Linked DNA regions of Arabidopsis thaliana. The protein of the gene in region 3 purifies or fractionates together with the protein of the main gene of each other region. This does not show direct contact. Each region holds a gene or a part of one and is shown on either strand. Other genes may lie near its edges. The genes, in order: AT2G35390, AT1G25260, AT1G09060 and PRS2.

Evidence for each region.
Region 1: the proteins of AT1G09060 (region 3) and AT2G35390 fractionate together in Arabidopsis thaliana (co-fractionation; one large-scale study listed by BioGRID). This does not show direct contact.
Region 2: the proteins of AT1G09060 (region 3) and AT1G25260 fractionate together in Arabidopsis thaliana (co-fractionation; one large-scale study listed by BioGRID). This does not show direct contact.
Region 4: the proteins of AT1G09060 (region 3) and PRS2 fractionate together in Arabidopsis thaliana (co-fractionation; one large-scale study listed by BioGRID). This does not show direct contact.

Annotation. Positions count from the first base shown.
Region 1 is NC_003071.7:14,894,739-14,899,539, reverse strand, and holds AT2G35390 (Phosphoribosyltransferase family protein), read left to right. Parts: upstream 1-1,657; 5' UTR 1,658-1,958; coding exon 1,959-2,102; exon of another isoform or gene 2,103-2,432; coding exon 2,433-2,855; intron 2,856-2,966; coding exon 2,967-3,110; intron 3,111-3,204; coding exon 3,205-3,372; intron 3,373-3,457; coding exon 3,458-3,527; intron 3,528-3,646; coding exon 3,647-3,728; coding exon of another isoform or gene 3,729-3,732; exon of another isoform or gene 3,733-3,831; coding exon 3,832-4,012; 3' UTR 4,013-4,286; downstream 4,287-4,801. Other genes in the region: AT2G35410 (RNA-binding (RRM/RBD/RNP motifs) family protein), read right to left, coding at 1-99, 188-490, 644-742, 825-1,199.
Region 2 is NC_003070.9:8,853,032-8,857,838, forward strand, and holds AT1G25260 (Ribosomal protein L10 family protein), read right to left. Parts: upstream 2,844-4,807; 5' UTR 2,736-2,843; coding exon 2,708-2,735; intron 2,456-2,707; coding exon 2,290-2,455; intron 2,212-2,289; coding exon 2,121-2,211; intron 2,028-2,120; coding exon 1,969-2,027; intron 1,834-1,968; coding exon 1,773-1,833; intron 1,616-1,772; coding exon 1,525-1,615; intron 1,425-1,524; coding exon 1,348-1,424; intron 1,267-1,347; coding exon 1,132-1,266; 3' UTR 503-1,131; downstream 1-502. Other genes in the region: UMAMIT24 (nodulin MtN21 /EamA-like transporter family protein), read left to right, coding at 4,695-4,807.
Region 3 is NC_003070.9:2,920,518-2,927,620, forward strand, and holds AT1G09060 (JmjC domain protein JMJ24), read right to left. Parts: upstream 5,240-7,103; 5' UTR 5,171-5,239; intron 4,809-5,170; exon of another isoform or gene 4,748-4,808; 5' UTR 4,738-4,747; coding exon 4,132-4,737; intron 4,032-4,131; coding exon 3,889-4,031; intron 3,792-3,888; coding exon 3,692-3,791; intron 3,589-3,691; coding exon 3,456-3,588; intron 3,364-3,455; coding exon 3,309-3,363; intron 3,201-3,308; coding exon 2,555-3,200; intron 2,477-2,554; coding exon 2,147-2,476; intron 2,010-2,146; coding exon 1,638-2,009; intron 1,546-1,637; coding exon 1,476-1,545; intron 1,387-1,475; coding exon 1,301-1,386; intron 1,213-1,300; coding exon 1,093-1,212; intron 993-1,092; coding exon 922-992; intron 821-921; coding exon 718-820; 3' UTR 547-717; downstream 1-546. Other genes in the region: AT1G09050 (arginine-glutamic acid dipeptide repeat protein), read left to right, coding at 1-341. UniProt on the Arabidopsis thaliana protein: Binds histone H3 but seems to have lost demethylase activity probably due to its inability to bind iron Fe(2+).
Region 4 is NC_003070.9:11,680,008-11,685,053, reverse strand, and holds PRS2 (phosphoribosyl pyrophosphate (PRPP) synthase 2), read right to left. Parts: upstream 3,321-5,046; 5' UTR 3,022-3,320; coding exon 2,878-3,021; exon of another isoform or gene 2,466-2,877; coding exon 2,301-2,465; intron 2,215-2,300; coding exon 1,966-2,214; intron 1,887-1,965; coding exon 1,743-1,886; intron 1,656-1,742; coding exon 1,488-1,655; intron 1,411-1,487; coding exon 1,341-1,410; intron 1,178-1,340; coding exon 1,096-1,177; intron 1,006-1,095; coding exon 825-1,005; 3' UTR 534-824; downstream 1-533. Other genes in the region: AT1G32375 (F-box/RNI-like/FBD-like domains-containing protein), read right to left, coding at 4,375-4,653, 4,751-4,885, 4,970-5,046.

The DNA.
Region 1 (4,801 bases), on a different chromosome or scaffold from region 3:
ATCTTCAGAAGCGTTGTTAGCTTCTACACTGTCACCATCTTCAGATTCACTGGCGCTTCTCAGACTAAACTTTAGAGTGATAGGTCTACCCATTATCTCCTATAGAAAAACCAAATTGTAATGAAACACTTTACATGCTCAAGGCTAAAGGAGCAAACTTTATATTAATATGCTTGGAACTTCATACCTTCCCATTGAGTTTTGTGATTGCATTCTCAGCTTCTTCTCTAGTAGCAAATGAGACAAAGCCATAGCCAGAAGATCTACCTTCGGGGTCAGCGAAAACAACCCGAGCTGAGACCGGGTTGAAATCTGCAGCAGTGAAAAGCTCTCGGAGATGTGTTGATCTTGCTTTCCAAGCGAGATTAGATACGTAGAGTTTGTGACGAGTGTCTCCAGGGGCAGGAGAAGGAAGATCGTTCGGTGATTTCGGAGTAGGCTTCTTGAACCTTCTTGCAAAGCTTACGCTAATGATCCTCCCTGACACTTGCTGAAAACAAAGAAGATAGAAGCTTAAACATCAAACCTTAGCTAACAACTCAACACAATGTATGATTTAGTAGTTTGAACTATCTACCTAAAAGGCTTTGAAATTAAACAAACAACACTCAATCAGAAAAGAATCTAAGGGATTTGAGCTTACAAAAGTATCGAACTTATCAATAGCTGCTTGAGCTTCTTCTCCAGAAGCCATAGTTACAAAAGCAAATCCTCGGTTCTTTCCATCTTTTTGCCTTATAATCTAGGAAAAGTTTATAAATTGAGGTAAGGCAATTGCTAGTAATAACATAAAGATTGAAACGAAATTGAGAAAGAAGAAAGACCTCGACATTGTTCACAGTCCCACATTGTCCAAAGAGCTCGGAAATGTCATTTACACTCATAGACCAAGGAAGATTGAATACAAAAAGCTTCCTTTTCAGATTTGAATTCTGGGTTTCTTCAGTCTTCTCCTCCTGCGACGTTTCTTCATCCGCCGATGTTTCTTTCTCCGCGACGGAACAGAGTACGGAGACGAGCCGCCGTGAGTTATCGCTGCCGGAACGTAGAGAGAAGACGGGAGAGAGATTGCTGGGAATTCGAAGACTAAGGGCAGTAAGTTTTAAGGAAGAAGAGCGTTTAGAAAAGAGATAAGGTTTTGAAGAGGAAGAAGAAGAAGAGAAGGAGAAAATGGAGAGAGAAGCTTCCAAAACCGCCATTGTTAGCTTTGGCACTAGAGAAATGGATTAGACCGAGACAAAAGGATAAAACTTTTTGGGCCGGTTTGGTTATTCGGAAAAAAATGAATTGTGAACCGGGTCTACCAACTTCGGTTTTTGAAGGTAAATGGCACGAGGAACTTAACCGTATATCATGTATTTTTTTTGGTATACCAATAAATTCCAATCCCTCCACATTGCAGTCAAATGGAAGAACAAAAAAGTGATGAATCTCATGATTTTTCTCTTTGAAGTCAAAACTCGAATTTGACTAAAACTGAATTTGATTGGTGTATATTCTATAACAATGTAAATACAAAAGTTTAAATTTCAATATTCTAAATAAATAAGTTAGTAAATTTTTTTTGAGTTTTGAGACATTTGGTGAAATACAAAATGAAGAGACCAAGATTTCAATCAATCCCAAAAAGTTAATTAATCCTAAGAAAAGTCCAGCCAGACGTCTCCAATCCATCAAACGATGTCGTTTAGTAACAACTTGTAGTCTTGTACACACCAACCAAACCATTTCCTATTTATTTTTCACAAAACGAAAAAAAAAAAAATCCAAATTCGAGAAAGAAGAGTCCAACACAAACTCGGAGACGAAGAAGAAGGAGAGAAGAAAACCATTAAGCCATTCCTTCTTCCGTATCACTCTGTCACCTTCAAAATCCTAAACCATAATTTTTCCGAATTCGTTGTGGAAGAGACTGCTTGAGTGAGTCAGAGGTGGGTTTACGTGAGGTATTGCTGACAATGGCGTCTCTGGGTCTATCCTTTCCTCCCGCCGCAAAAACGCCGACGTATCTAGCCTCTTCGTCTTCAACTTTCTTCTCTAACTCTTCTCTATCCGTCAGAACCTCTCAGTTTCGCTCCCGAAACTCTGTCTTCGCTTGTGTTGTAAGCGGTGTTCATGAATCTATAGAATTGCTTATTCTGCATTTTTGAATGTTGATCCTTCCTTTCTTATTACGTTTCCGGATTTGAGGTTCCTAGATTGAGTGGACCCTAATAGCCATCTTGTCAAGTTTGTAGTTCTGAGATTTTTATTGGCGCATGAGCTGAAAAGCTCGTCTCTTTCGTTTGAATATTGTTTGTTTATGCGAATATAGCTACATAAAGGTTGTCTCTTTCTTCAGAATACATTTGTTTGAAACTATCCAGGAACAGAAATTGAGACCTATATGATTATATGAATCTCTGATTGAGTCTTGTTGTTGTTGTTGCTAGAAATGTGATATGCCGGAGTCATTGAATGTGGGAAACGGGAATCCAAGTATCCCAATTATTAATGAGAGGACACTTCCAAAGTTCTTGGAATCTGCTCGTATGGAGAAATCAGTCAATAGAACCAATACAAGGTTGAAGTTGTTCTCTGGTACTGCAAATCCAGCACTTGCTCAGGAAATTGCTTGGTATATGGGCTTGGATCTTGGCAAGGTTAATATTAAGAGGTTTGCTGATGGAGAGATCTATGTTCAGCTACAAGAGAGCGTTAGGGGATGTGACGTCTATTTGGTGCAGCCTACTTGCACTCCCACTAATGAGAATCTCATGGAGCTTTTGATTATGGTAGATGCTTGCCGAAGAGCATCAGCTAAGAAAGTTACAGCTGTGATTCCGTATTTTGGATATGCAAGAGCTGACAGGAAGGTAAAGTCTCTTTGTGTGGTTTAGCTACTTTCACATGATATGGAGGGTTTGTTGATAACTTAGCTATTGGTAATCTTTTCTGGATAAAATTGTATGTTTTGCTGCTTGCAGACACAAGGGCGTGAATCCATTGCTGCCAAATTGGTTGCAAATCTTATCACTGAAGCTGGTGCAGATCGAGTTCTTGCTTGTGATCTTCATTCAGGACAGTCGATGGGTTATTTTGACATTCCAGTCGACCATGTGTACTGCCAGGTTCACCTCTAAAGCCACGTTCTTGATACCCCTCTTTATGCATTGTGTGTATGCTCCTTTGTGTATAATACCTTTATCTGCTTAATTGTTTCAGCCGGTGATACTTGATTATCTTGCTAGCAAGTCAATTCCCTCAGAGGATTTGGTAGTGGTTTCTCCTGATGTTGGTGGAGTAGCCAGGGCCCGCGCTTTTGCAAAGAAATTATCAGATGCACCACTTGCCATTGTCGATAAAAGGCGTTCTGGACACAATGTTGCTGAGGTATCCCTTTCTTTCAGAGTCAGAGTTTGCTCACCAACACCGCTTGCTTCCCCTTAAGTTCACATTTGTTATACTTTCCTTTCAGGTCATGAACCTAATTGGTGATGTAAGAGGGAAGGTGGCAATAATGGTGGATGATATGATTGATACTGCTGGTTAGTAAAACGGCATGGAGTTGTCATTTTACCGACAAACCAAGTTTCCTATCTCTCTCTATTCCCCATCAACTTCTCCTTTTCCAGGCTGAATCATCTATGAACCATTCTTGTTTCAGGAACCATTGTAAAAGGAGCAGCTTTGTTACACCAGGAAGGTGCTCGGGAGGTATATGCGTGCTGCACACACGCTGTTTTCAGGTAAACCACTAACCTATATTTTGTTTGTTCCTGAACAGTCTCAAAATCACTACTTCCTGAAGCATTATTTGTTTTCTTTGTTTCAAACAAATCAATATGGAAGCCCGCCAGCGATAGAGCGATTATCAGGGGGTTTGCTGCAAGAAGTGATAGTGACAAACACATTACCTGTAGCAGAGAAGAATTACTTCCCGCAGTTAACAATATTATCAGTGGCTAATCTCCTGGGTGAGACCATTTGGCGTGTGCATGATGATAGTTCCGTCAGTAGCATTTTCCTTTGACCTTTCTCATTGCAACCAACAATTTGAACGATTCTTGGTTTGTTAGTCGGTTTAGAAAGTTTATCCCGGTTCATGTTCTAACCGGAAAGCTTCAACAAAATTTGCTTGCATTGTCTTTTGATACAGCTTAGGTTTTTCTTATTTGCTCCACATCTCAAAATTATGGATGCACAAATGGTGTTGAACCGATTTTTTATTATGGTGTACACAAGTTTTTAACTTAATATATAGAACATCTTGTATCGTATCTACATTTAACATGGTGCAAATTGGCTCAAAAATCTTGTTGACAATTTGATAATGGGTTTCATAATCAGACAAATCTATGTATTGGATTGTACAGTCCACGGCCAACCAAAAAAATAAAAAAAGCCCAAAAGAATAGGTTGAGTCATAATTAGGGCTTCTATTTGACTAGTGTCAACTAGTATATATAGAAGACTCACATTGGAATCACAAGACAAGTCTATTGTTTTGTGTTCCGCCTCAATTAGTTCTTAGGGTTTTGTCATCTGTGATTTTGTTTGGCTCTGTTTTTCGATTTGTGCATAGAAATTTATTTAAATAGAAGAGCTGTGAGGAAAAAATCGTGTGCCAGAGATGGTTAATCCATCGCTGACGGTAATACACAACCCTCTAAGAAGTTCTGAGCTTTTCTAGATCTTAATCTCTTCCTCAATTCATGTTTTTTTTGGATTTTTGTAAAAACTCTTTTAAGGACTTTTATGAGTCGAGGTGACGATAGAAATTCACAGGTCTGTCAATCCACTGATATATGTGATGTAATTG
Region 2 (4,807 bases), 5.9 Mb from region 3:
AAGCCACACACTCTCTCTTTCTCATCTCACCTCAATACGTGATCTCCTTGATTTACATTTTTTTTTTTAACAAAATCTTTTTGTTCATTAGGAAAGAAGAAATAAGCAAAAAAATTAAGGATAAAGTATATGGAACTTGTTTTTCCAATCTAACTTACCTAAATTTGTATAGGCAAACTCCGTAAATCCAATAAAAGTCCCATACATGAATTAGGAAACAATTTATCCCGCATTATCTGCGGATAGAAAACAAGAAACAGAAAGTTGATATTTGATTGAGTATATTTAAATGAGAGAATATCGTATTTTCGATTTTATATATATATATATATATATATATATGTAATGTTAAGGAAATATATTAAGACATAATAGTATACTTATACTTGTTTAAAATGAGAGAACCCGTAGTTTATGTATATATTTTTTTTTTATAACAAAAATATGTTAACCAAAATTTAATTAAAAAATATGTTATCAAAATTCATAAAATGTTGAAAATCTACAACTAAACATTTGTTACGTCGGAGTTGGAAGTATCGCCTTTCCGTTTAATCTTTTACCAAAATCTCCGGTGGGTTCTATTTTGTTCAACCGCATTCGCCTCATAGTATCTTCAACCCCTTTCGTAGAAAACTGCTTCTATCCCTAACATCACAACTCTAAGCTCACCTAGTCAAACGCAATAGTTTCGGATTGCTAAAAAACAAACAAAAAAACAAAAAACAAGAAATTATCAAAAGAGATGGACGACGTGTGAACGTTGTTGGACTGCTCTCAAGCCCATGGACCACAATAATTTTAAAGACAAGAAGAAAAACTTGCTTTAAATTATCATACGCATGCCAATTAATTCGGTCCCAACACCATCTATAAATCTGTAAAAAGTAAGCAAATTGAGTAAGAAATTCCATAATGTGGCTGAATAAGAAAAACAAGGTTTTCAAGATTGATTTGCCAATATTAGGATAGGGGGTTCTTGAAGATAAGTTGATATTCTACAAAACATGTAAAGCAAGCAAAACTTTGACTTAAAACATTTGAATGCAAACCATGTGCCACAATATAAAATCCATGTGATAGTGATGATATTAAGAAAAATTTAAAGGGTGGAGTCAAAATCTTGGCTTCCTAAGAGGTTTCAACGTCTGAGAGATCTTCTCGGTAAAGCTCTGACAGATCTTCTCTGTAAAGCTCAAAGTCACTAGGGCTCCATCTGCAGAGCAAGTTCAGCTTGAAAGTAGCCATCTTCATTCGCAATAGACGCTGCAAAGTAAACAAACAAGTATAAGAAATAAAGCATACAAATTAAAAGGAAAGGGTTTTGGTATACAGAAGTCTTATTACCAAAATGTGGGCTGATTTTGGCGAAAGTTGTTTTCCTTCTTCACAAACTACAAAGTCAGCGACCAACTCCACAGTACCTACATATTAAAATAAGAAGAAGAAATAAGTTTTTGGATTAATATAGATAGCAAAAGTGAGTATGAGAAAGAGGAATATTAAGATGGTGAGACGACAGACCTTTGTTTAGTCGTACAGGCATTTCAAGCTTCCGAAGAAGTGGTTCCATCTCATGTGTGAACTGTTCTAGAGGACCTTCCTTCAGTTCAACCTAATCATTTAGGTGGTACCAATATAGTAATTAAGATAAAAGTAACGAAACAAAGTTTTTTAAATAACAAAGAGAAGCAGAGCCTGATCATAGTCAAGCTTATTTATTTATCTAGAAACAACAGTATATAGAGATGGCACAAGTTCTGTTCACAAACCGTTTCTACTGCAATGCTTCCGGTCCTTGAAAAGTCGGAATCCTCATAAGCGTTAAATAAGCTGCAATACACAACCAGAAGAAGTATTGTGAACAGTTACAACAACTAGACATGTATACAATTCAAACCCGTCACTGTTGTTTCACCAAAGCAAAAGAGGAAAAAAGAGGACGTCAAGAGATACATAGATAGATACCTTTCGACTTCTTCCTTTGGCATATCAGTAACAAGAAGTCCAGTATCACCACGAAGCAGCTGAAACAACATTCCACAACATATGTAAATCTAACTGACAAAAAATGACCATTTAACATAAAAGAACCATTGTAAGAAGCAGAATACACAAACCTTGGAGACTTTGTAGATACCAGAACGGAGTTCATCTTCTGCAGAACGACCAAGAGCAACCTGCATCACTTTGTTCGAACCTAGGAAGAACCTAGACAAATAAGAACCGAGTCAGTCATAACATTCAAGTAATTCTAACATCAACCAGAAGAAGGACAAAGAAACTAACTTTCCATTGTGCCTAAACTGCTGCCTAAACTCCTTGAATTTGATATTTCTCATGTTTTCAAAAGAGAAAACATAGACAGAGGAATATTTTTCAACAGCCTCCCTAATTCCATTCACAATACACTCCTTATGCTCTCTTCCTTTCTTCTTCGTCTTAGACAAAGTCACTGCAGCAAAAAATCAGAAAACAAAACCCTTAGATAAACCATTCATCAATCGATTCAACCATAGAAGCTATGAAAAAACATTACTAACTCCAACAAGTTAAAGTTTTTTTCAAAAGGGTTCCTCTAAAAACCTAACAAAACCCTAAAACCCTTGACGGCGGCTACAAAAGTTACAGCTTCCAAAACCAGTGACAGAGATACAATGGTTCAGACAATAGAGAGCAGAAAGAGTGAAGGAAGAAGAGTTCTAACCTGGTCTATCTCGCTTTGATTTAGGCATAGCTGAGGTTTCAAATGTTGTATGGAAGTGAGAGGAACGAAAGTGAAGGAGAACGGCTTCTGTTTATTAAGCTCCTTTCAATTTTCTTCAGGGAAACTGAAACCCTTGTTCCCTTGTTTGCTTTAATTCGCACTTTTTAATCTGGACCCCTAATTCAACCCGATCCGGATCCGGCCCGTTTCAGGCCTTTTAGCTATCAGAAATCTGGGCCGATTTTTTTTTGTCATTGGAGGGTGTACTAGTTTAAATTTAAATGGATTATAGTGTTTTTAGTTTTTTTTGTTTTGTTGTGCAAAAGTTTTTAAGTTAAGAAATTAAAGTTTTAAATTTAATGTTATAAAAATTAATTAAAAAGTGGTACTTTCAAAATCATATTATTAAACCTCTTAATAATGAATTATAAATTATTTATATGAATGCTCGGAAATTAAACAATGTAAACGTATAGGGAACAATAGGAACAACCATTAGTAGTGAGTAGTGATCTCACTACTGGCAATTTGTTCGAGACTAAGGGGATGGGTCCACTCATTTGTAGAAGTCCTCAACCCTTCTCATGCTCGTAGTAGTCGCCGTGGCTTGTGTTTTGTTCTTGGACGAGAAGTTTATTTGGGAAGGTAAAAGACAATTTATTTATTAAGATTTGATAATATTTATAAGCATACACTATATTATTGTTTTCAAATTGAAGTGTACTTGAAGCAATATATTTATTTTTATTTTTACTAGGAGCAATATTGATTGTATGTGGGCTATATATATGTCGTGCTATATGGCGAAAAGATCAAGAGATGAGTGGAATTAGTTCCGTCGGGGGAATTAAAAAAACACACAAAAATCGCTCGAGATTGTTATAGCTAGTGGTATTGATAGTGGCTCGATCTATGGCATAAAAGAAAATGATGGAAAATATATGACATTCAATTGGGGTATCATAACGTTCTCTAGAGGTTTTTTTGTGTGTGAAATTTTAATTGGGTCAGTATGAATATAACTTTTTTTCTTTCTCATTCTTATAATATGTATGTATGAATTGATACTTGGTTTTCACTTTTGGTCGTATCATCTTTATGCAAGTCACATGAAAGAGAGCAGAAGAATGGAAAGAGAATCCAAGCCCAAAACTTCCACATTTGGATCTTTACCAAGTGTATTTGGCTTTACGTACGCATGTTGCTTACTGACAATAATGATATACGAGCCTTTTTCTTTCTTTTGGAGTTCTTGTGTGTGGCAAAGCCATCGCGGAAAAGCCACAAAGCATGCTTAGCACGTGTCAACGTCAACCTAATATGTTACTTTTATTTATATCTTGTTTAACTTCACAATTATGTTTTAATAAATGTTAATAGCACCGAGCATGTTTCTGCATTGTCATTTTGGCTCATATAGTAAAACGCATTACCGTTCGTATAAGAATGTGTGGCATCGATGTAAATGTATAATAGTTTTCTTGTCATGTTATAACAAATGCTTTTGCAAAAAAAAAAGATTCTTTTGCAGTGAAACGCTCTTGAAAGCTTGTGGAGCTCCTTTCATAGAACGACAATAAACAGTTTCGTCTTATTTTTGCATTACGTCTTCACTTTGTATTCTGTTTTCCCTTTGATCATGAATATACATTTCAACACATAAACTCTTTTGTTTTTCTTTTCTTTTGTCTACAAGAAGGTTAATCCTTCCAAACTTTGCTACTTTAGTAACGAGTTTCCAGAAACAAATATTTGAATCTCACATCTTCCTATATCATGAGCTAGGAGGATTGGACAGTTAATACAATTGAAGTGGAGCACAATGAAAAAGGTATAGAGGTAGAATTAAAGACGAAAACACCTTGGCTACATAAATAGAGCTGATCATGAGCTAACAGGATTGGATAGTTAATAGTTAGAGACTTAGAGTGGGTATCAAAGTAGAAATCAGAAACTGTGGGGCGAAATCAGAGAAATGTGGGGAGAAATGAAGAGTGTAGTTGCAATGGTGGCGGTTCAGTTTATCTTCGCCGGGATGTTCATTTTGTTTAAGATAACGGTCGACGATGGTACGAATCTCAAAGTTCTTGTAGCGTATCG
Region 3 (7,103 bases):
TGGAATCCGACTTTCTTATAACCAAGAGAATGAAAAGCACAACTAAACCAGAACCGAGAAAACATGAAAGTTCAACGAAGAAAAAGCGCTCAGCTAAAGCATGTAACAGAAATGGGAGTGCAGACTTGGAGCACAGAGGAGAAGATAGAAGCAGTTTTACAAAGAAATCACCAACAAGTAAGCCCTTGGATCAAATAGAGGATTCAAAGCCTAGCTATCTTCTCAATGAAGCAAGAACTGAGAGTAAGGCTCTGGATCAAGTACAGGAGTCAAGGCCGGTTCTAACTGAATACCGTAAACTTCCACCGATTGTATTGAAGCTTCCATTCAGGCGTGGCTAAGGAGCTCAACGGACTTAAGTCTGAAAGTTTTGATCGCGGGATGTGAGAAGATTGGCCTGGCTGTATGCTGAAGAATAAGTGTGTACAGAAGAGCGATATTAACACAAAGGGTTTTATTCCTTTGTTATTCTTATTACTTCCATTATTAGACAGAAGTAATGTTTCTATTATTGGTTTGCTTAGGAGTTCGTTGAAGTAACTTTCATATGGTCTAGTAGTAGAAAAAATTATGTGGAATAATGATGGTTATGAATATACTATATGAAGCATGATATACACAGTCATAGATACATTACAAATCCTGAATAGTAGTAGTAGTCGTCTAAACTAAAGTCACAACAATGATTTTTATACTACTATACAAATCTTGACTGATTTAAGTGCAGCTGTTTTGCTGCGGCCGCTTGGTTGCCTCGTCTAAGTTGTGAGAGACTGCTTTGGTTAAGTTAGAGTCTTCAAATCCAAGCTCTGCTCCAAACCTTTTGCAGCCATAACGAAGGAACCAAATTTCAAAAATTGTCAGTTCAAATTCACTTCATACTCTTTATATTAGCTTTGGTGTCAATACTTTTTTACTTACTTTGGATCCAAGACCAGTTTCTGAACCTCTTTAATGGCTGAGCTAGCTGCGTATAATGATATCTTTCCAATCTGATGTTAAGAACCCAAACCATTTCCAAGAGTTAGAAGTGAAGGCACTGAGATGGTTAATGGTTTGTTCTAAGGGAAGGCAGAATCAAAGATTTGTTACCTCTAGAATCTGAAGTTTTGCCTCGTGGTCGTTTGGTAAACACCGGATTTCTTCAGCTAGTCTTGCTGACTCTCCAACGCTTTCAGGGCACAAGAAGTCAAGTGCCACCTGAATATTCGACTGAGAATTGTATACATGGGAAAAAAGTTTAGTTTAGCTCAAGGGAAAAGAAACTTAATGGAATAATGTTGCAACGAAATAAATTTACCTGAAGATTAGTGATTTGGAACGGACATCCAGCCGGAATGAAGATAGCCTCACCACGATGTTGCTCAAATGTCCATGGCTCAACTCCTGAAACAATAGCAAGAGTCATCCCTCAGGTTTCCAAGCGATTAAGTGTTTGGAAATAGAATAGGGAATAGAATGTTTGTTTTTCCTACCAAACTCGTCTCTTAGTTGTCTCTTGTGGTGTTCATTTAAGAACAATCCTTCATACAACGGGCGTGACACCTGAAACCAGAGTAAACAAACTAGGAAACTCAATCATTCCACATACAAGACTTTACACACTTCATTTATTTGAATTAGCAGGTACGGCTTACAAAATCAGTCTGGATATTATCAGGCTTCTGGAATGTTCTCTGCAAATACCCGGACAACTTTGGGACGTCTTGGCGTCGAAAGACATCCCACTGGGCTCCTCCTGCACATGAAGATGTGCAAGAAGATTCCATGTTGTCACCGTTTTCCGTTAAGTTCTCTGGATTCACAGTCAACGCCAACTCAGGTTCATTCTTCTCCATACTGGCTTCACCAAGTGATAGATCATGTAACTCTCCGTCCCTTAATTTCTGCTCAGGGCTAAGAAGTGACTCATTTTCGCTCATCTTCTGGTCAGGTTCCTCTGGAACAGGTTTTGTTTTTCTCACCCTTTCGAATGTTGTTTCTTCAGACGTGTGCACCAATAGGTATACCTGATTAACAGTTTCAACGACTCAATCATTATATATTTTAACAATAATCTCAGTTGACCTAACATATAACCAGTTTCCCTTATCAACCAAAATAAGACAAATGTGATCACTTATAATCCAAGAGCTGAGTAATGTACCATGTCACGCATGTTGTAGTGAATACCAGTCAATGAATCGCCAGCACTGATTTCTTGGTACGTCCCACAAGACACATAAATCTTTGGACCTGAATCGTTTTGGAGCGAGTAATGAGGTAACTTGGCTGCAACATTCAGAAGGCCTAACCGGGGATGAATGTACTCGAGAAACGGAAAACTTCTGATAAACTCAGGTCTTTGGTAGAAAATGAACTCCTCGGAAGCACTTGGGCTCGGCCAGTCCTTTAACTTCCACAATAGCGGAAGACCTGTCTCTTGGTTCTTTCCATCTTTATATGCTCTTGTAAACTCCCCAAGTCTTACATCAACCTGTGAATCAAGTTATGAACATTACTGAATCTGTGACTTCACAATATGAAGAAGATAAGAAGATAAGAAGAAATGTACCTCTAAACCATCCAAGCAATTAATGGCCTTCAAGAATGGATCATGTTCTCTCAGTTTCTCGTCCGAAAGCTCGTCTATATCCCTCCAAATAGTCTCAGGATCCCATCTAGAGCAAGATGAGTCATCAAGTACCATTTTCACAGTAACAAGCCGACCCTCTGCCCATTGTTGCTCAAACTTAGCTACTCCATCAGTTTTAATCGTTTCAAGCGACGGGCTGTACACGTAGTTGTCACCGCTCTCTTCTCTCTCAGCAAATTTGCAGAATCTTGAATCACACATATCAGGGTTCAGAAGATCAGATAATTTGCAGCCACTAACAATCTCCTCAGCATTTTTCACAAGCTTTGCAACCCAATTCATCTTGAAAATGCGGGCAAGATTCAAAGAATGTGAACCGCAGCCTCCATACTCCTTAGGAGGGCAAGGGATGCTCCCATCACCGTTGGCTTCCCACTCAGGAAACTTGTATGAAAAGTTTAGTTTTAGTTTGGGAGCTCCTTTTCTATCTTGTACGTTTTGGTTAGTCCCACTAATCGTCACTGAAGACTCTTCCCGTAGATCTTGACAGCATCTCAGGCAAAGGTCATATGAGCAGTTCGGACAGTGACGGTAGTAGTCAACAACTGGTATCCGACACACGTTGCTGCAAGAAACAAAACTTCAGTCATGTACGATAATACAAAGTGCCAACAAGAAATAGTTGCAGTACTAAGTCAAAAGAAGAAAGGCATGTAAGATAGATCACAAGTACCAGCACATCTGCTCATCTGCTTTCAATCTTGCCCTGACAAGATCAATCTCAACTTCTATAGAGTAGAACAAACTAGTGTTAACCGCAAAAAATGTTACGAGTATATATAATTCATCAATAGTCACTGTAAACAAAAACTCGTCTCACCACGAAGCCTCTTCTCTAGTTCAACTTCCATACATTGTTCAAGATGGATCTGCTTTATGACTGGTAGGACAGCTGATAATAGACGATAAAGATACTGCAACTTGTCCAAAACGGGTATTTCCCGGATCCGAACCTGCAATTTTTCACAAAGAGTCATAATCATCTCATGGTCCTAAATTTCAAACCCCAAAATAGGTAGCACTGGTTTGAATCTTTATGATAACACGAGACCACACCTTTATTGTATTATCTGAACGCAGGCAAGATTTGCAATCACACAAGCCACGACATGCAGGGCAAACTTTCTCGACTTCTTCAAGTGATATCTCCGAGTACCTTAAAATGCATGAGACATCATTAGTACCGCGAACTCTTTCTACCAAAGGTTTATAGAATTCTGATATAAACAGAATGAAAAGAAAAGAAAGCACACCTTGCCGATAGACAATTGTGGCAGAAGGCTCTTTGATTGCATTTGAGGCAAGAAATGATTCTCTCTCTATCTTTTCTCTGGCATTGATGGCAGATTTCCCCCAAAGACTCTGCAGACACATCTGTGCTTGCTGCTGAGTATTCCTACAACACAGAAAACCAGTTACTTTTAATCCTTATAAGCAAACAAACACATATGGGTGTACAAGTTCTTTGTCTAACCAATGAGAAACAAGAAACTTACCATAGGACTGGTGCTTTGGTGTGATCTGTTTCGTGTCGGATCCATAACAGCAACAGATGGTGGTGTCCTATAAGATCTGTAGCCCTCTTCAAACATTACAACATCTCTACCCAAGTCATCATTCAAATCCACTGCAACACGTGGAGAGAAACTCCTCATCATCGGTGTCTCGGGCGAGTACCGCATCAGGCTTTTATTATGTCTCTTCTCTAGTCTACCATTACTCTTGGAAGCAGAGGCAAGACCGTTATTATAGTGGTCAATGCTGGTGACTGGTAACTCGAAATCATCCATCTTCCCTTCCGAATACGTATCTGTTTCGCCTAACGATGATCGCCTTTTCGCTTTCTTCTGGTTCGCCCTGAAAGCAGAATTAGCCGCCCGCTTCTTTGCTTGGATGTAGTGCTTCTCACAAACAGTCTTATCAGCCATGGACATTGCAGTGCATCTCCACTGTTTACCATCCGATCTCTTGCACCGTAAGTCATCTGGAATCCCGGGAATAGACTCACCATTGCCATTGCCAATGCCATTGGCGGATCGAGTTTGCTCATTAGCATTCATTCTAATCACTGAATCACAAGTTTCATCAAAATTGACCTGCATTGTCAAAACACTAGATTTTCAAACTAAAATCAGAAATTGAGCACTCACTAAAGGGAAAGAAAACTAAATTGGTAGCTTATACACTCCTGCTCGAATTTGAGAGAGAGATCAACCAAATTACAATCCCAAAATCCAATATTTGTAAGCAAAACCCGTTAAATCCCCCAATTCAACGAACACACACACACACATGATCAATCACTGAACCTAAGAGCTCTAGAAACACATGCTATATCGATCGATATATGTATAGAACTAATAAGTGCGTACAAATTCGAAGACAGAAGAAGAGAACTCCGAAATCGCTAAAATCGAACGTAGAATTGAAGAAGAGTGTTTAAGATTGGGGAATTCGAGAGGCTCATCAACAAGTATATAAGTGTGTATATATATATAGGTACATATATATATGAAAATAATTGCTCGTACTTACAGTGAAAGAAGGAAAACCCCAAACCTGAAATTAGGGTTTTGGTCGAGAGAAATTGCAGAGGTTATAGATGGGAGAGAGACCTATCATGTTCAGGATACTTTTCTTATACTTCTGTCTTTTTTTTTTTTTTTTTTTTTTGGATATTCCCTTTCCGCTTAGGTTTTCCTTTTTTCCTCCTCTGTAACTAAGAAGAAGTAAACTCGGATTCAGACAGAACATGGATATGGGTTCACTTGTTTTTCTTCTTTTCTTTATTTTTGTTTCAGTGTGGTGTTTTTTGATTCAAAAGTGGATCCCCATTGTACAGTTACCAAATATGGATATAAACAAACAAAAGTTAAGGGAAATATGTATACAAATTTCAAATTTAAAATATTTTGATATGTTGTCAAAGAATTATATATAAATATATTAATATTGCAATTTTATTAAAGTAAACTTACCAATTGATGAAACACAAAAAAAAAAGTCCTTGATAAGGTTGTTTTACAGTAATTTGATTCTAAACCTGTTGACTTGTAATGCATCCGGAATTTGGATTTCGGATAGTTTCATAGAAAGAATTATTTGGTTCTAATGTAAATTATGTTCATTTCGTATTTGCTAATGGTAATTAACATTAATGACTATGTCATATTCGTTTTCTAATTTTCAGCGACTAACGATTAAATTGTGTTCATTTTGTAGTTACTGAAAATAACGATGAGCAACTGAACGTGATTCAAAATACTCAACGCTAAAATTTTCATTGGTCAAAAACTTTTAAGTCATTGGCAATGGTGTCGTTTGAAATATGATCGTGTATGTTTGTTGGGTTTTTAGTTATCATTGAGTGATTTTTTTGCTAAACAAATTCTGAATGGTGAGTTGATGATTAGTTTCAAGACTTGCAAGTAGTTGAGTGATGAGATCAAGTACTAGAAGAAAAATCAGGTAAACTTTTTTTGTGTTATATATCAAAATTTGTGAATATGGTCTCCTCCAATATATGGACTAACGTGTATATTTGCGTTTAACTTAAATGTTCCGTGAAGGAGAATAAAGTGGCAAAGAATATGGATAGTGCGTCAGGACCACGCGACGTGAGGCTATCGTTGAATTAAAAGGATGATTCGATCGAGAAAATGAGAACCAATCGCCTTCGAGAATAAGCAAAAATAGAAAACGTATGGGTTATTCCACGCGTATTGCTCTTGACTACTGAAGAAGAAACCAAGAAAGATGCTTGAGATTATTCTACATTTCAAAAGATTCCACCTTATATGCTCATTCATTATCGCAATACATGCATGGTTCCAAGTTTTAAGTTAGTAACTTTTTTCCGAAGACAACTAATCTTCAACTAATTACCATCATATATACCACCATTAGTTGGTTTTGTTAAACTGTAATTCAATGTAAATTTATTAAAACATTTTCATTTAGAGTTTACGGTAAACTTTCGAATGGTAAAGTTGTAGAATTCGTACTCGTCCACTTGATATTCTTTTTCGAATATGTTAGTGATGTTGATCATATCCAATCCTAGCAGAGTAAAATGCGATATGATTACTACATATCATGATATCAACATCAAACAATAATAAGTCTAACTCTCCGGCGTGTCTTTGTCCTATTTTACGTACCTGATTACGTTGTCAAGTAACCAGGCTTACGGAGAACACCGAATTGATCATGGTCTTATCATTTGAGACATTCTTTAAAACGTTTATAATTTCCATATCTTTGAACGTTTACATTGCCATTATCACTAAACTCTTAGATACACATGAGTTTATTATTTGAACCATGGTCAAATAATAATTTACTAAAAACAGCAAGATAATTAAACTTCAGATAAGAAGAAACTAATATTAGAAGGAAAAAAGCTATTTGCATTTAAAGAAACCGCGTCCTTAACAAAAAAAATCTCGTGCGTGTCCCTCCCGTGTGT
Region 4 (5,046 bases), 8.8 Mb from region 3:
TTCAACAAAACTAATGATCTAATAAAAAAAAATCATTGGGAGGGTTTTTATTAAGAGTAGATCAGAACCTGTCGAGATATCACAATAACATCACTCAAATGTTGTCAGTGGATTGACAGACTGTGAATTCTTTATCGTCACTTCGACCACACACCAAAAAATAGAACAAAAGAAAAGCTTAGAACTCTAAGGTTATGTTTGCCGTCAACGATGAATAACTTCATCTCTGGCACACGGTAGTTACATCACAGCAACTACTCAAGATTTTCGAACATAAGAATTCAAAACCACAAAAGAATATGATTAAACTATGAAACAGAGATTATAGGGAGACATATCGGACCACAGAGAGACGAAGGAAACACTTATCTGTTTCAAGCGGCGATGAAAAGACTATTTATATGCAACGACGGGCTTGATAAAACCCTAATTTGTTCCTTTTTTTTTGCAATAAAAATTGGTTAACCGAAGAAAGAACACTAAACCATAAAAATTAGTCACTTATTTCATAAAATGCCAAAACTATTTATTGCCAGAAATATGCAAGTTGGGGAAATTGTTAATTTAGAAATTCTCAATAAATCCTGAGAAATAATGTTTACACCATAATGTAATTATTTTCAATAAACCAAAATATTAAAATTTTATTGTCATTGATATCTCATAACTCTATTATGCTAAAAAGAAGAAAAGATAGAACTGTGACATACTTTAGGTGAGTAAGAGAAGCAAGACATGGTTAGACTAGAAACTGTCGAGAAGAAGTAGAACAAAAAAGAGGAACTTAGACCGATCCTAAACCGATTAACAAAAACCAACAAGTATCAAAGGAAAATACTACTAACGGAGCTATCATCATGGACACGCCAAATGGTCTCACCCAGAAGATTAGCCACCGATAATATCGTTAACTGCGGGAAGTAATTCTTCTCCGCTACTGGTAAAGTATTCGTCACTATCACTTCTTGCAGCAAACCGCTTGATAACCGCTCTATCGCAGGAGGACTGTGACATTGATTCATTCAAGAAAACGGTCTCTTAGTTTCATAAACGAAAATGGAGAAGAACTGGTAAAACTCAAGCTAATGGGTTTACCTGAAAACAGCGTGTGTACAGCAAGCGTAAACCTCACGTGCACCCTCCTCGTGTAAAAGAGCTGCTCCTTTCACAATGGTTCCTGTAAATAAGAAGATAAAAAACTGGTTCTTAGTAATGTATGGCCTGCAAATCACAGAATAATCTCTATTTAGTAATATCTCGATTATGGCCTAGAGTTTGGAAGCTTTTGTTTATAACAAACATATCAACGGAAAGAGGAGTTTCTGGCAATTTTTACTAACCAGCTGTATCAATAATATCATCCACCATTACTGCCACCTTCCCTTTAACATCACCGATTAGGTTCATGACCTGTGGGAAAGAGTATTATCAACACATGAGAACTTGCGTGTAGAAAGGATAAAATGAAGGTAAATTTAAATTTTTACCTCAGCGACATTGTGGCCGTGACGCCTTTTATCGACAATGGCAAGTGGTGCATCAGATAATTTCTTAGCAAATGCACGTGCCCTGGCTACTCCACCAACATCAGGAGAAACCACTACCAAATCCTCAGAGGAAATTGACTTGCTAGCAAGATAATCAAGTATCACAGGCTGAAATGTAATCACAATTGTGTAAGATTTTAAAGGTTGCATAAAAAGTAGAGGCTTGTCTATCAAAAAGGTTGAAACTTAAGATACCTGGCAATAGACATGATCCACTGGTATGTCAAAATAACCCATGGATTGTCCTGAATGAAGATCACAAGCCAGAACCCTATCTGCACCGGCTTCTGTTATAAGGTTTGCTACCAATTTGGCAGCAATAGATTCACGCCCTTGTGTCTGAAAACATCAATAGATACATCAGATGAAATTACTTGACATACTGTATCTACCATTGAAGAAGACAAAAAGAACCTACCTTTCTATCAGCTCTTGCGTATCCAAAATACGGAATCACAGCTGTGACTTTCTTAGCTGATGCTCTTCGGCAAGCATCCACCATGATCAATAGCTCCATGAGATTCTCATTAGTTGGAGTGCAAGTAGGCTGCACCAAAAAGACATCGCAACCTCTAACACTTTCTTTGAGCTGAACATAGATCTCTCCATCAGCAAATCTCTTTATGCTAACCTTCCCAAGCTCCAGACCCATATACCAAGCAATTTCCTTCACAAAATTCCAAGAGTTTAGCATATACTTCACCAGAAGAAAACTTGATTAAAAAAGACAACCAAAGGTCTCGAGAAAACTACCTGAGATAAAGCTGGATTAGCAGTACCAGAGAACAACTTGAGCTTAGTATTGTTTCTACTAACCGATTTCTCCAACCGTGAAGAATCAAAGAACTTAGGAATTGTCGTCTCATTAATAATTGGAACACGAGCGTTCCCGTTTAGTGCCTTAGGCAAATTGCATTTCTATCAAACACAATGACAAGGAATTGTGAAACCAAATTCAAAATGTTAGACACAAAATTTAACCAACACACGATCTCTCTTACATCTCTCTACAAACATAAGAATAACCAAACATTCATGAACAGTATTCAACACACAAGATTCCAAAGCTGAAAGTTCCAAATTCCAAATTCTACAGTCACATACATGGACAAAGTCAAGCCAAGAGCGACGACAACACACAAATTCTCACAAAATTAGCCTGTAAACGAACTGCTAATAGCATCTACTAAATCCAGAAAAATCTCACAGATCATCAAAGCATAGATTCATCCAAAAACAATTTGAATTTTCTTATAACAAATACATGAAACGCAATGTGAATATCGAATTCATTCATTAACATGAAGGAAAAAAAATGCTCAATGCTCACCGCGTAACCAGAAACGCAGATTCGAGAGCGAGACTCAGTGGTCCTGAAAGAAATCGAGGAACGGGAGAAGAGAGACGAAGACGACGAGGAGAGATACGAAGGAATCTTAACGGAGGGAGGAGAAGTCAGAGCCAACGACGCCATATGTAAATATATACGTCGGAAACACCTGGAATCTCTTGAGTCACGGCAAATATCAGACTCCTCTCAACGTTAAGAATTCCGATAGAGAAGAGAACTAATCGAAGGATATTAGGATTTAGGGTTCCAAATTTGGAGTGAGAAACGAAGGAGAAGGAGGAGAAGAAGAAGGTAATGGTGAATATGTTTGTTGTTGTTTCTTTCTTCTCCGGGAAGAAGAGTGACTCAAGCGGTGCGGCGATGGGTCTTCTCTCTTTCTCGAAATTTGGAATTTTCAATTGTAATTTTGTTACACTAAAAACATACAAAAATAAATATTGTTTAGAAACGGTGTCGTTTGGTTGATGGCTAAAATCGTCTCTGCTCGTAGCTTTCACAGCTTACGTGTCATGTAGGACTTAACATTGAAGGAGTCGAAAAGAGAAATTGTTTTCAAACACAAATTCTAAAGAATCTCATACTGATTCCTAATGCCCACTTGTTTCTAAGCATTTTTCATGCCACTTTAGGATTCCAATAACTAATTATGAACATAAATTTTCTAAAAAAAGAATATATTTTCAGCAAAAAAACTTTTTTTAAAAAAAAAACCATTTGTATTTTGGGTTCTTTCGGCTATACAAATAGATTGGGTCACATCATTAATATTGGCCATTGCAACAATTGAAAAGTGCAAATTTTGGAAAGAACAAGTCAAAAACTCAAAAGGTGAAGATGTGATTCTTCTCCTACATAAAAAAGGTTACAACTTACAAAAGACCTCTTCAAGGTACTTACAAAACATCATAGAGATTGCCTTAATACTTGTTTTGAGTTTAAAGAGATCCAAATTGAAAACATATGCAGCCATAAGGATTTGTTGCCATTTGTGTGAAACTGAAAAGGCAAACGGGTTATAATAATAAGAAGCCACAATGTCATATTTAACACATTAAAGATATAAGGAGATGTGATTAGCCATTGCCACGACCTCTTGCGTATCCGAGTCCATTAGACCATTTGCAATATCATTTTGCTCTAAATGATTACACGTGGTCAATTCATATTTCCATCTACCTAAATCCAAGCTCATAACGGATTACACTAAACAAAAAGACCAAAATGTCTCTAAGTTCATTGACCATTTTAGAACGTCATTCTTCGCTTGTCGAAGAATATGCAGTGAGAAGCAGAGCTAAATAAGATAAAAACTCAAAAGGGTTATAAGACATAAGAATACACAACGTCAAAAGAATAAAAACTTGAGCAACATAAGTTTCTAGGGAAAACTAGTTTCTTTAAGAAGAGAAAACACAAGTCTATAAGATTGGATCAAACACAGACCAACTTGACTAATGAAGAAGACTGAACTAAACTTCAGTCGAATGCAATCTGACATGTAGGTGAACGCCTGAACAACAATGACAACTCCTTGAGCATCTCAAATTTCTTGTTGATGTCAGTGGATTTAGAGGAGATAGTCACCTTCTTTAAACAGCTTCCACTTCTTAAGATGAATGCCGCTACTTCTTTCTCTTCTTCTGTTCCTTCATATTTTACCCATTCGAGAGTTTCAAGACTTGTCAACAGACATTCAGGAACTGCACTCGGTTCATTCCAGCACGGCCGCGGTTGATGAGATCGATAGACATGGTTCTAAGATAAAAGTAAGATATCATCACACTGTTATTCTACTGAAAATATATGCTGATATATCATAGAGACTGAATAATTCAGGTTTAGATCTGCAGACCTTAACAAGTTTGAGTTCTCGTAATTTAGGGGAATCTCTGAGTACACACATAAGTAGATTTAGCCACTCTGTCTCACATGTGCATATCGTTAAACGTACAAGACAGTGGAAGACACTACCAACAGGATAAGCATCCTGCATAAGAGACACTACATAAGTAATTTGATCACAAAGAAACCAATAATATATGTAGATAACAGAACTATAGAAACATATTACCTTAGAGGATGGTATACATACATAGAGACGCTTGACGGAAGAAATAGAACCCATGAGCTGCTGCGTATGTACATAAG